2 linked regions of the Caenorhabditis elegans genome follow. The protein of the gene in region 2 interacts with the protein of the main gene of each other region in a pairwise test. Each region holds a gene or a part of one and is shown on either strand. Other genes may lie near its edges. The genes, in order: C36B1.11 and B0261.7.

Region 1 (4,176 bases), 3.5 Mb from region 2:
GCTTGCACACTTTTTTCCTTGAATGCCTGAAATTTGCATTTTCACCTTAACTGCTTCTTATGTGTTCTGATTTCAGAAATATCACCATTGCAGTTTAAAATTATAAAAATTCAAATAATTACAAAAAGTTTTCAGATCAATTCTTCTTCTTCTCCTGATGATACAATGGAAGACATCGAATCAAACGCTGTAATCGATCAATCCAACTCTTCTAGTCAACAAAATCCTCCTGTAAACGTGTAAATCAACTGAAATCTCTTCCCCAATGTCTTTTCGAGAAGAATTGAAATTTGCCTTTTCAAAAGTTCAATCAAACTCTAACCGTTTTTAAATATTCAAATTAACGAGCCACATTCATATTCTTGTAAAATCGATGGTTGTTCTGTGTAAATTTTCACGTAGGTATGTATCTTTCTTATTCAAGTTTTCCATAATTGTTTCTTCCTAGTACGAGTACCCCACTTTTGTCCATTCTTATTTCAATTTTACACACATAATTATTTCTATTCAAAATAGAATTTTTCCGATCGTTCCTCTCGAAATGAAAATTTATGATCGAATCGTTTCTGAAGCAATTGCTATTTGACTATATTCGATAATTACAAATGACACATGAAAGTTCCCGTCGAATTTTAATTGTTGGGTTCACGAAAACATGCCATGCAGAGCGAGAACAAACGAAAAGTTCTGTATTTTGGTCAAATAATAAACGAGAACTAGATAATTTCAGGCTCTAATAGTTTATTTTCAAATTTTTGATTTTGAACGAGTTGAAACATGCGAAAAAAATTTTCGTTTTGGCATTGAAAAAGGTGAGAAATAAAAGAAGTATGTTATAGTAGAATTCGGCGTAGAATGTAAGAATTTCCTTAATATGTGCTCATTTGTTCGGTAAAATTGAATTCATTGAAACTGGCGCCTGAAATTTGAAACTTTAGGAATCGACGATTAATGAAAAGAGAAACTCACGGCCACTTGATCGAGTAATTTCTCTCCATGTACTCGGCAATTGCCTTTTTTTGATCGTTAGATTCGATTCTATCATCAAGATAATCTGCAATACGAGAAACTGCATCCTCTGGTGATTCCCGACGAATACACATTTCAAAACGGCGTGATATGGTGATAACAGTTTCGGTCATGCTCTCGGTGTACTGAAAAAATTAGGCTTTATAACGTTTTAGTTGTATAATAAATGTTTACTCAATTTTTCGAAAGAATGCGGAGTTTATTTTAAGTTGGAAGAAATTGATTATATAAAACACTCAAGCCTGAAAGTATTTATGTTACTTACACCTTCATTAGTGCTGCTCTTATTTTTCAATTCATCGCCTCCGGAGACTTCGCTGCATGAAAGGGCGTTGTCTGGATTCTGATTCAGGATAACTGTGCCAGTAGTTGATGTAGAATGAATACTGGATTTTTTTGATGAAATAGACGACCGAGAAGATCCTTGACATTCATGCGAAACATCTGATAAGTGATCATCTGTAACACAGTTTTGTTTTCAACGATCAGAGATTTTTATAAGTTACCATCGCTCTGCGGAGAACCATTTTCTGAGTCTCTCTCAATTGTCGCATTAGCATCATAAAATGCATCCTGTAAAATCATTGTTATTCGAGTATTCCAAATTTATACTTGATATTGTAATAGTCAAACTCACAAGCATCTTGTTAGCCAGCTCTTTGACGCGATGGTAGCCTTCAATACGATTAAATTTAATAAATTGGATAGCCTCGTTGAGTTGCCGTTGACGCAAATTCCATTCCACAATCGTTTTTGACTGTGACAAGTATTTAATCACATCAATCTGAGTTAGTTAACAATAATTTTCTAAAATTTCTTAAATTCTCACTTTTTCCAATTTTTCGTGACCAGAAAGAATAATGGCATAATCAACAGGATTATCTTCATGTAGTTCGGATAGAACATCGAATTCCATTTGCAATCTGACTCCAATCTCTTGTGAAGCGATTTTAAACTGAAAAATACATTTTATTGAAAAATCAAGAGTGTTGAATGAGAGCATACCGCCAGTTTTTGCGCTTTTGACACGAAATCTTTGTGCATTTTGTGTGGTCCGACAAAAGCACACTTTCCACAAATAACTTTCTCTTTTCGATAGAACATTGCCGGCGTCATAATTGAAGAACTTTGTTTGAGCGCATATTTGCAGCCTTCGTGACGACAAATGAATAATTGACTGTGTGGGGCGAATATGGAACAGATTGTGCAAGTTCCCATTGTGTCGGTGTAAGCGGAGCACTTTTGTCCTGACATTACATCTTGATGAAGAGGAAATGTCGAGGCAAATTCAGCTGGTGTTGGTGGTTCTTTGGTGAGAACTTGATTGAAACTATCAATCGTTCCAGAGGAGGACACTGAAATTAATTAGATTTAAGAAAAATAGAAAAATATGAGCTTACTCTTCAGATTATTATTACTTGTGAGTGATTATTATGTTTGAAGTATGATCCTTTACCTTAAAATTGAATTGTATTTAAAGTGAGAAAACGACTTAGGAGAGAAAAAAGCACATGTGGAACGAAAATACGAGAATTTTGAAGCATAATGTTTATTTAGATGAAGATAGAAGCTGAAATATTGGGAAAACTTGAAAAACAGTCAAATATCACTTCTGGAAGCAATTCATTCGTTCAAAATGAACATTTAATTCCTATATAGGCCTACAACTAGGTCAAAATCAAAAAATGGCGCAATAAAAAAGTTCAAATGTGGAGTTGTGCGGAGACCCGAAGAACTATAGTTTTAAAACCGTGCGGCAGTTGCAGAAATGGGCGTATTGCAAGTCACGGTTCTGTGGGCGGGGCCAATCCCCCGAGTTGGTAATCCCCCCAATTGGACATCCCCCGAGTTCTTCGGGTCTCGTTGTGCGTGCAACGAGGCACACGCGCAATTGCAGTATTCATTTACTACAGTAGTCTTCAAAACTGTAGTTCGCGCACCCTGTTTCGATGGGGCTTCTTCTAAATATTGATAATAACGCAATAAAGAGCATTTCTTTCAAATATTACCGAATTAAATTATCTTCATAAAAAATAACACTGTGAATAGAATGAAGCAAAGTGATTGTCGTGGAGAATTGAGTGAGAAGTGAGATACAAGTTATGATTTGACAAGAAAATACATGAGAACCAGCAAATTAGATGAAATAATTGGTTAGAAACGATTTGAACTACTGTCGTCGTTTGAATTGATTGAGGTATTCAAAAAAGTCTAATGTTTTGAGGCGTGGTCCGGCACCTTGAGCAATGATGGCCATTGTTGTGTGAACTCCGTAGGAGATGATCGGAACGACGTCAGAATATCCCTGAAATTCAGAAAACATAAACACTTTTGAGTAAGCAACATACGGTATCTGTTAGGTTCGTCATGAGCAAAACTGTCATTGCTGCGTTTGCCAAGATTGGAATAATCATATTGGAGACACGATTCTTATCATAATGATATCTGGAGAATTGTCCCATTACTGTGAGTCCCATGAACAGCACGTAGAACATAATATTGCTGAGATAGAGCAAGCCACCCCACTGAAAAATGTATATAGTTGAATTTGAAACAAATAAAGTTTGCGTACCACCCATTTTTTCTCCAGCAGATAATGATTTACAATGACAATAATCGAGCAAACGGCCATTCCACAATTTCCGGCAATCGCATTGGTTCGTCGGCAGACACGTGGAGCGACGACACACATTGCCAAAAATAACCAGACAGCAGTTCCGAAATATATTGCAAAATCAACTTTATATCGATAGAAGCCCATGCGAACATTTGCTTGAAGATCCGGACGTAACCATGCGTAGAAGTAAACACTAAATAAGAGTCCGGCAACGTTGATAGCGCCAATCATTCTGAAATTGAAGAGACAGGTCAGTAGTTTGAAACTGAGCTTAAAATTTAAAAACTATTTAGAAGAAGTACCGGAGAAATGTGGCGAAACACAAAAGAATACGCCAAAAAGTCGGAGAAAATGAAAACGAAAAACTACCGCAAAAAACCATTCTGGTGGATATTCCTTGCCGCAATTAGATAACAATATAGAGCAAAAGAAGATTCGATTTTTTTTTTGATCTACCTACAAATGACAATTCGAAGAAAAAAAAATGGAAAAAAACAATAACAGAAAATGGGTGTTAATTGAAAACATTT
Region 2 (3,946 bases):
GATAAATTTTATTTTTAAATTCGAGTTTTTAAGTCGAAAAACTATAAAAAATCGATCCCGTAGCAAAAAAAATTACAGTACGCTCTTAGCGTCTGGGTAGCATGAAAACAGGTTTTCAACCCGGAGAGGTGTCGACTCATGCTGAAAAACCCCAACAATGTTATTTTTGGTTACATCAGTGTAGAATATCATCTCATTCTTCCAGAATGTGGATGCTTCGACTACAAACCGCTTACCATAAATCACGTAGCCATTTTGGATAAGGAACTAGCTCAAGAAATTAGAATTGGAAACCTAACTACGCCTATTTACACGTATGAGAATTGTGATTACATTTATATTCAATGCGGTGAAGAGAACGCAAGAACTCGACAATTATTGAGAACTAATTGGCCAGACAGAGGAACTATTTACGTAAGTTTTTGGAAGTTTTTAAACAGCCCCCTTTGTTAATATTTCAGAAAGTTGATATGACAATGATCTCACGTACAGCTATACTTTGGTTTAAAGTTGAATGCGACAAGAAAAGCCACGATTGGAGATACATTTTAGTGGACGATGACAGAGAAATTGTTAATGAGCATTTGGTTTGTCATTCTGTTCAATAAAATTCTGAAATACTGATATTAATAAATTGCTTATTGATCTCTTATAAAAGAGCTCTTATAGTTTGTTAGTGACAATCATCTGGCAGCAACATTTATAAAGCAGTGCGGTTCATTAGAGATTTGAAAAATTGATACAAAATAAAATGTATTGCATGTGGAATAAGTTTCAGTCACTGGGTGCGTTTATTGTGGTCTGAAAATAAAACATTGATTTTCTGAATTTCTTTTGAGAATACTCACGGGTAGTAGAGTGCAACATTGTGTCGCTCTTTGAAGCGACTAGCAGCAGCCATTTTCTCCTCGAGGCTTCCAACAGATTCATGAAGCATGTCAGAGACTGCTTGCAAAGCCTGCTCAATTGTCAATTCGTCTCGAATTTGATCGAAACGGAGACTCAAACTACGACAGAGCATGTTTATTGCAGAATCGTTTTGCTTCTGTAAAATATATATTTGCAAACACTCCGTACGGTATTTTCAAGGAACCTACAAGGTTCTCCACTTTAACAGTTGTAATAATCGAAATCGAAGTGGAATCGACTTTCGGAATATCTGGGACTGGTGATGCAGCTGCCGGTGGAAGGGTAACATCTGATGCTCGCTTTTCCAGGTCTTTGTGAGAAGTTTTCTTCTCTTCTTTCTTCGATGATGGTTCGCTGTCTTTGTTACTACCTTTAAACTTGGCCAGTATATCTTGGAAACAGTTCTGAACAAAATAATTGATTTTTGTAAACGGAGAACACTAACCAAGGAAAGACCGGCGAGCTTTTTAACATAGACATCGCTTTCTGTACGACAGTTATCAACTGTATTTTTCAGGTCCACGAGCATTTTCTTTCTTTTCACGAATTCGGTGCAACTGTTGGCATTATCAAGATACGAAGCCACATCAGCCTGCAACCAAGAGTATGGTAACGGTAATAAATGTTCAAGTACTAACCACTGGAAGATGTGGAATACCGAAGTCGTTGGTGATCATGAAATCAGTTGATTCGTCAATATCAAGAAATGCAAGTGTCTGGTAAATCAGTCCCATATCTTCACCAGTAGAAGCCGATTTAATCTGAAATGTTTCTTGAGAATTGATTTCATACTCACTGTAACTCTACCGCTAATTTGTAGGCTCCCTCCGCCTGATCAGAATGATTCTTGTGGCTGCCCGTGAAGATGCATGCCGAGCAAAATACTTTTTCATGTAAATAAAAGTCGAACGGCGAAGCATATTTCTTGTTTCCTTTGAAAACTCCAGCGCACTTTTCATGTCGGCAGACAAAGAGAAGTTTGTGTGGCACGAGGTCCTTGCATTTGTAGCATCTTGCGGCGTTTTCAGTCCATCTTGAACGGTTGACCGCACCCGAAGACTGATCTGGATCCGCTTCTGAATTTTCGTCCCCATTGCTAGAAGCAGTCTTTTCCAGAGAAAGTTGGACCGAATGATCGCGACTGCTGTGTACACTATCAACACAGCTCATTTTATCTGAAAAAATTGGGATAATGAACTATAATGTTTAGATATTAAGGTAGAAAATTATAAGCTCGAAAAATATTAATGGTTCCTCCAAAGTATCCTTCGTTTACTAAAAATTGCGATTATTTTAATATTAAATTGAAATAAAAAAGAAAATATAGCGTTGCGAAAATGATGAGAGAAACTTTAAGAGAAAAATCCTAAAAACTATTTCGATAGAGCATCATTGCAATGTACGCAATTTTCCTAACAGTGTTTGCGGACTTTGCCATTGTCTACCGTAGTATGGTTTTATTATTAAATATTACTGTATTATTAATAATATGTTAATTTATTAGCTAAAATTCAAGTTTATAATATTTTATTTTGTCACATATTTTGAAAAAAATTTTAAAAATTAAAATTTAATGGCGTTGATAAAAAATAAGTTAATAAATTCAATTTATGCAATGATTTCTGGTTGAGTGGATTGGATTGAAGTCAGAAGCCCGTTTGAAAATACGTCGACTCTTTCCTCTGCTTCGTTGAGATCAAAATTGGAAGTGGTATCGTTCGTTTCAACGTTTTCTTGCTGCTCATTTGTATTGTTGGCTGAAAAAGCAACATTAGGAAAAATCGAAAAATCAATTTCAAATTAACGAACTCACATTCCGTTTCCTTCTCAAAAAGATTCTCCAAAGTGTCTTCTTGATCCACTTGTGCCTCCTTTTCAGGTATTGGAAGCTCCTCGTCTTTTTCAGTAGACTTCTCGAGAGCAACAATTTCGTTTTTCTTTTCATCACTATCCTTCAAGTTTTGGTCGTTTTCAGATTGTTCATGAACAATTTCGTCTTGCTCCTCAATCTCTTCCTCGTCAATTTCATGCTCAAACTCGATATTTTCTTCTTCCGCCTCTTCATCCTGGACCTCACAAGTTCGCTGAACTTTTACTTCTGGTTCAAAATCATCTTGGAGCTCGACGGCTGGTCTTTTGCGTTGAGAAAGAAATCCTGAATCACCAGTTTTTGTAAAATCGTAAAAATATTAAAGTACAGATGATAACTCACCAATGGCTTTTCCGATAGGATTAGATCCCTCTGGTGTGGATAGAAGGCTTCCCATAGTTCTGAAATTGAAATACTTGTTTCTTATTATTCATCTGATGAAGGCTTAGAAGAATTTAGAGCGAGGAGAACTGCTATGTATCAAACACCGTAATTTTTGCGCCAAAAATACGGTAGCCGGTCTCGACATGATCGACCTTTATTGAATGCAGAAATGGTGTGCGCCTTTAAAGAGTACTGTAACTTCAAACGTTAGTTGCTGCGGAACTTTCATAAATTTTTCTCACGATTTTTTATGAATGGTATTACGGTACTCTTTAAATGTGAACTTTTTGCAATTCACGAAAATTTGTCGTGTCGAGATCGTGCACCGTACTTTTTGGGCAAGATTTCGCATCTTGGTACTTCAAACTTTTTAGACTTTAAAAAACACGTATACGTATAGACATAAGGCAGACACGTACGACTGAAGAAGTGCCTGCCTACTATGGAATGCCTAAAATTAATAAAAATTATCGTTGATCAGCTGCACTTTTGAACATTTTTGGATAGTTTTTAAGAGTCAGGAATGTTTTTGGCTCATAAAATTTCCAAAAGAATATAAAATTTAGGATTGAAGACTTGACATACGACGGACGACGAAAACAAAGACACTGAGGGAGATCGAGAGAATTAGAAGTGGAAAAAAGATTGAGAGGATGAAAAGAGAAAAAGAAAATGGACGACTGCAGCAGCGGCCAGCACACGAGGACAAATGTTCACCCGGTGTGAACGAGAAAAAGGATAAAAATTAGAGAAAGAGGAGGAAAGGAGAATGATTATGGGTGC

The links.
Region 1: the proteins of B0261.7 (region 2) and C36B1.11 interact in a two-hybrid assay, tested with the Caenorhabditis elegans proteins (one large-scale study listed by BioGRID).

The regions. Positions count from the first base shown.
Region 1 is NC_003279.8:8,755,119-8,759,294, forward strand, and holds C36B1.11 (uncharacterized protein), read right to left. Parts: upstream 2,486-4,176; 5' UTR 2,430-2,485; intron 2,385-2,429; 5' UTR 2,284-2,384; coding exon 2,035-2,283; intron 1,985-2,034; coding exon 1,859-1,984; intron 1,814-1,858; coding exon 1,667-1,813; intron 1,603-1,666; coding exon 1,536-1,602; intron 1,489-1,535; coding exon 1,295-1,488; intron 1,155-1,294; coding exon 970-1,154; intron 920-969; coding exon 904-919; 3' UTR 728-903; downstream 1-727. Other genes in the region: imp-1 (IntraMembrane Protease (IMPAS) family), read left to right, coding at 136-243; DY3.8 (SWEET sugar transporter), read right to left, coding at 3,200-3,334, 3,378-3,554, 3,602-3,877.
Region 2 is NC_003279.8:5,268,856-5,272,801, forward strand, and holds B0261.7 (Zf-tcix domain-containing protein), read right to left. Parts: upstream 2,087-3,946; 5' UTR 2,080-2,086; coding exon 1,717-2,079; intron 1,671-1,716; coding exon 1,548-1,670; intron 1,502-1,547; coding exon 1,355-1,501; intron 1,314-1,354; coding exon 1,098-1,313; intron 1,046-1,097; coding exon 849-1,045; intron 802-848; coding exon 792-801; 3' UTR 690-791; downstream 1-689. Other genes in the region: B0261.9 (DUF4377 domain-containing protein), read left to right, coding at 206-414, 462-608; B0261.8 (uncharacterized protein), read right to left, coding at 2,518-2,666, 2,723-3,064, 3,122-3,176.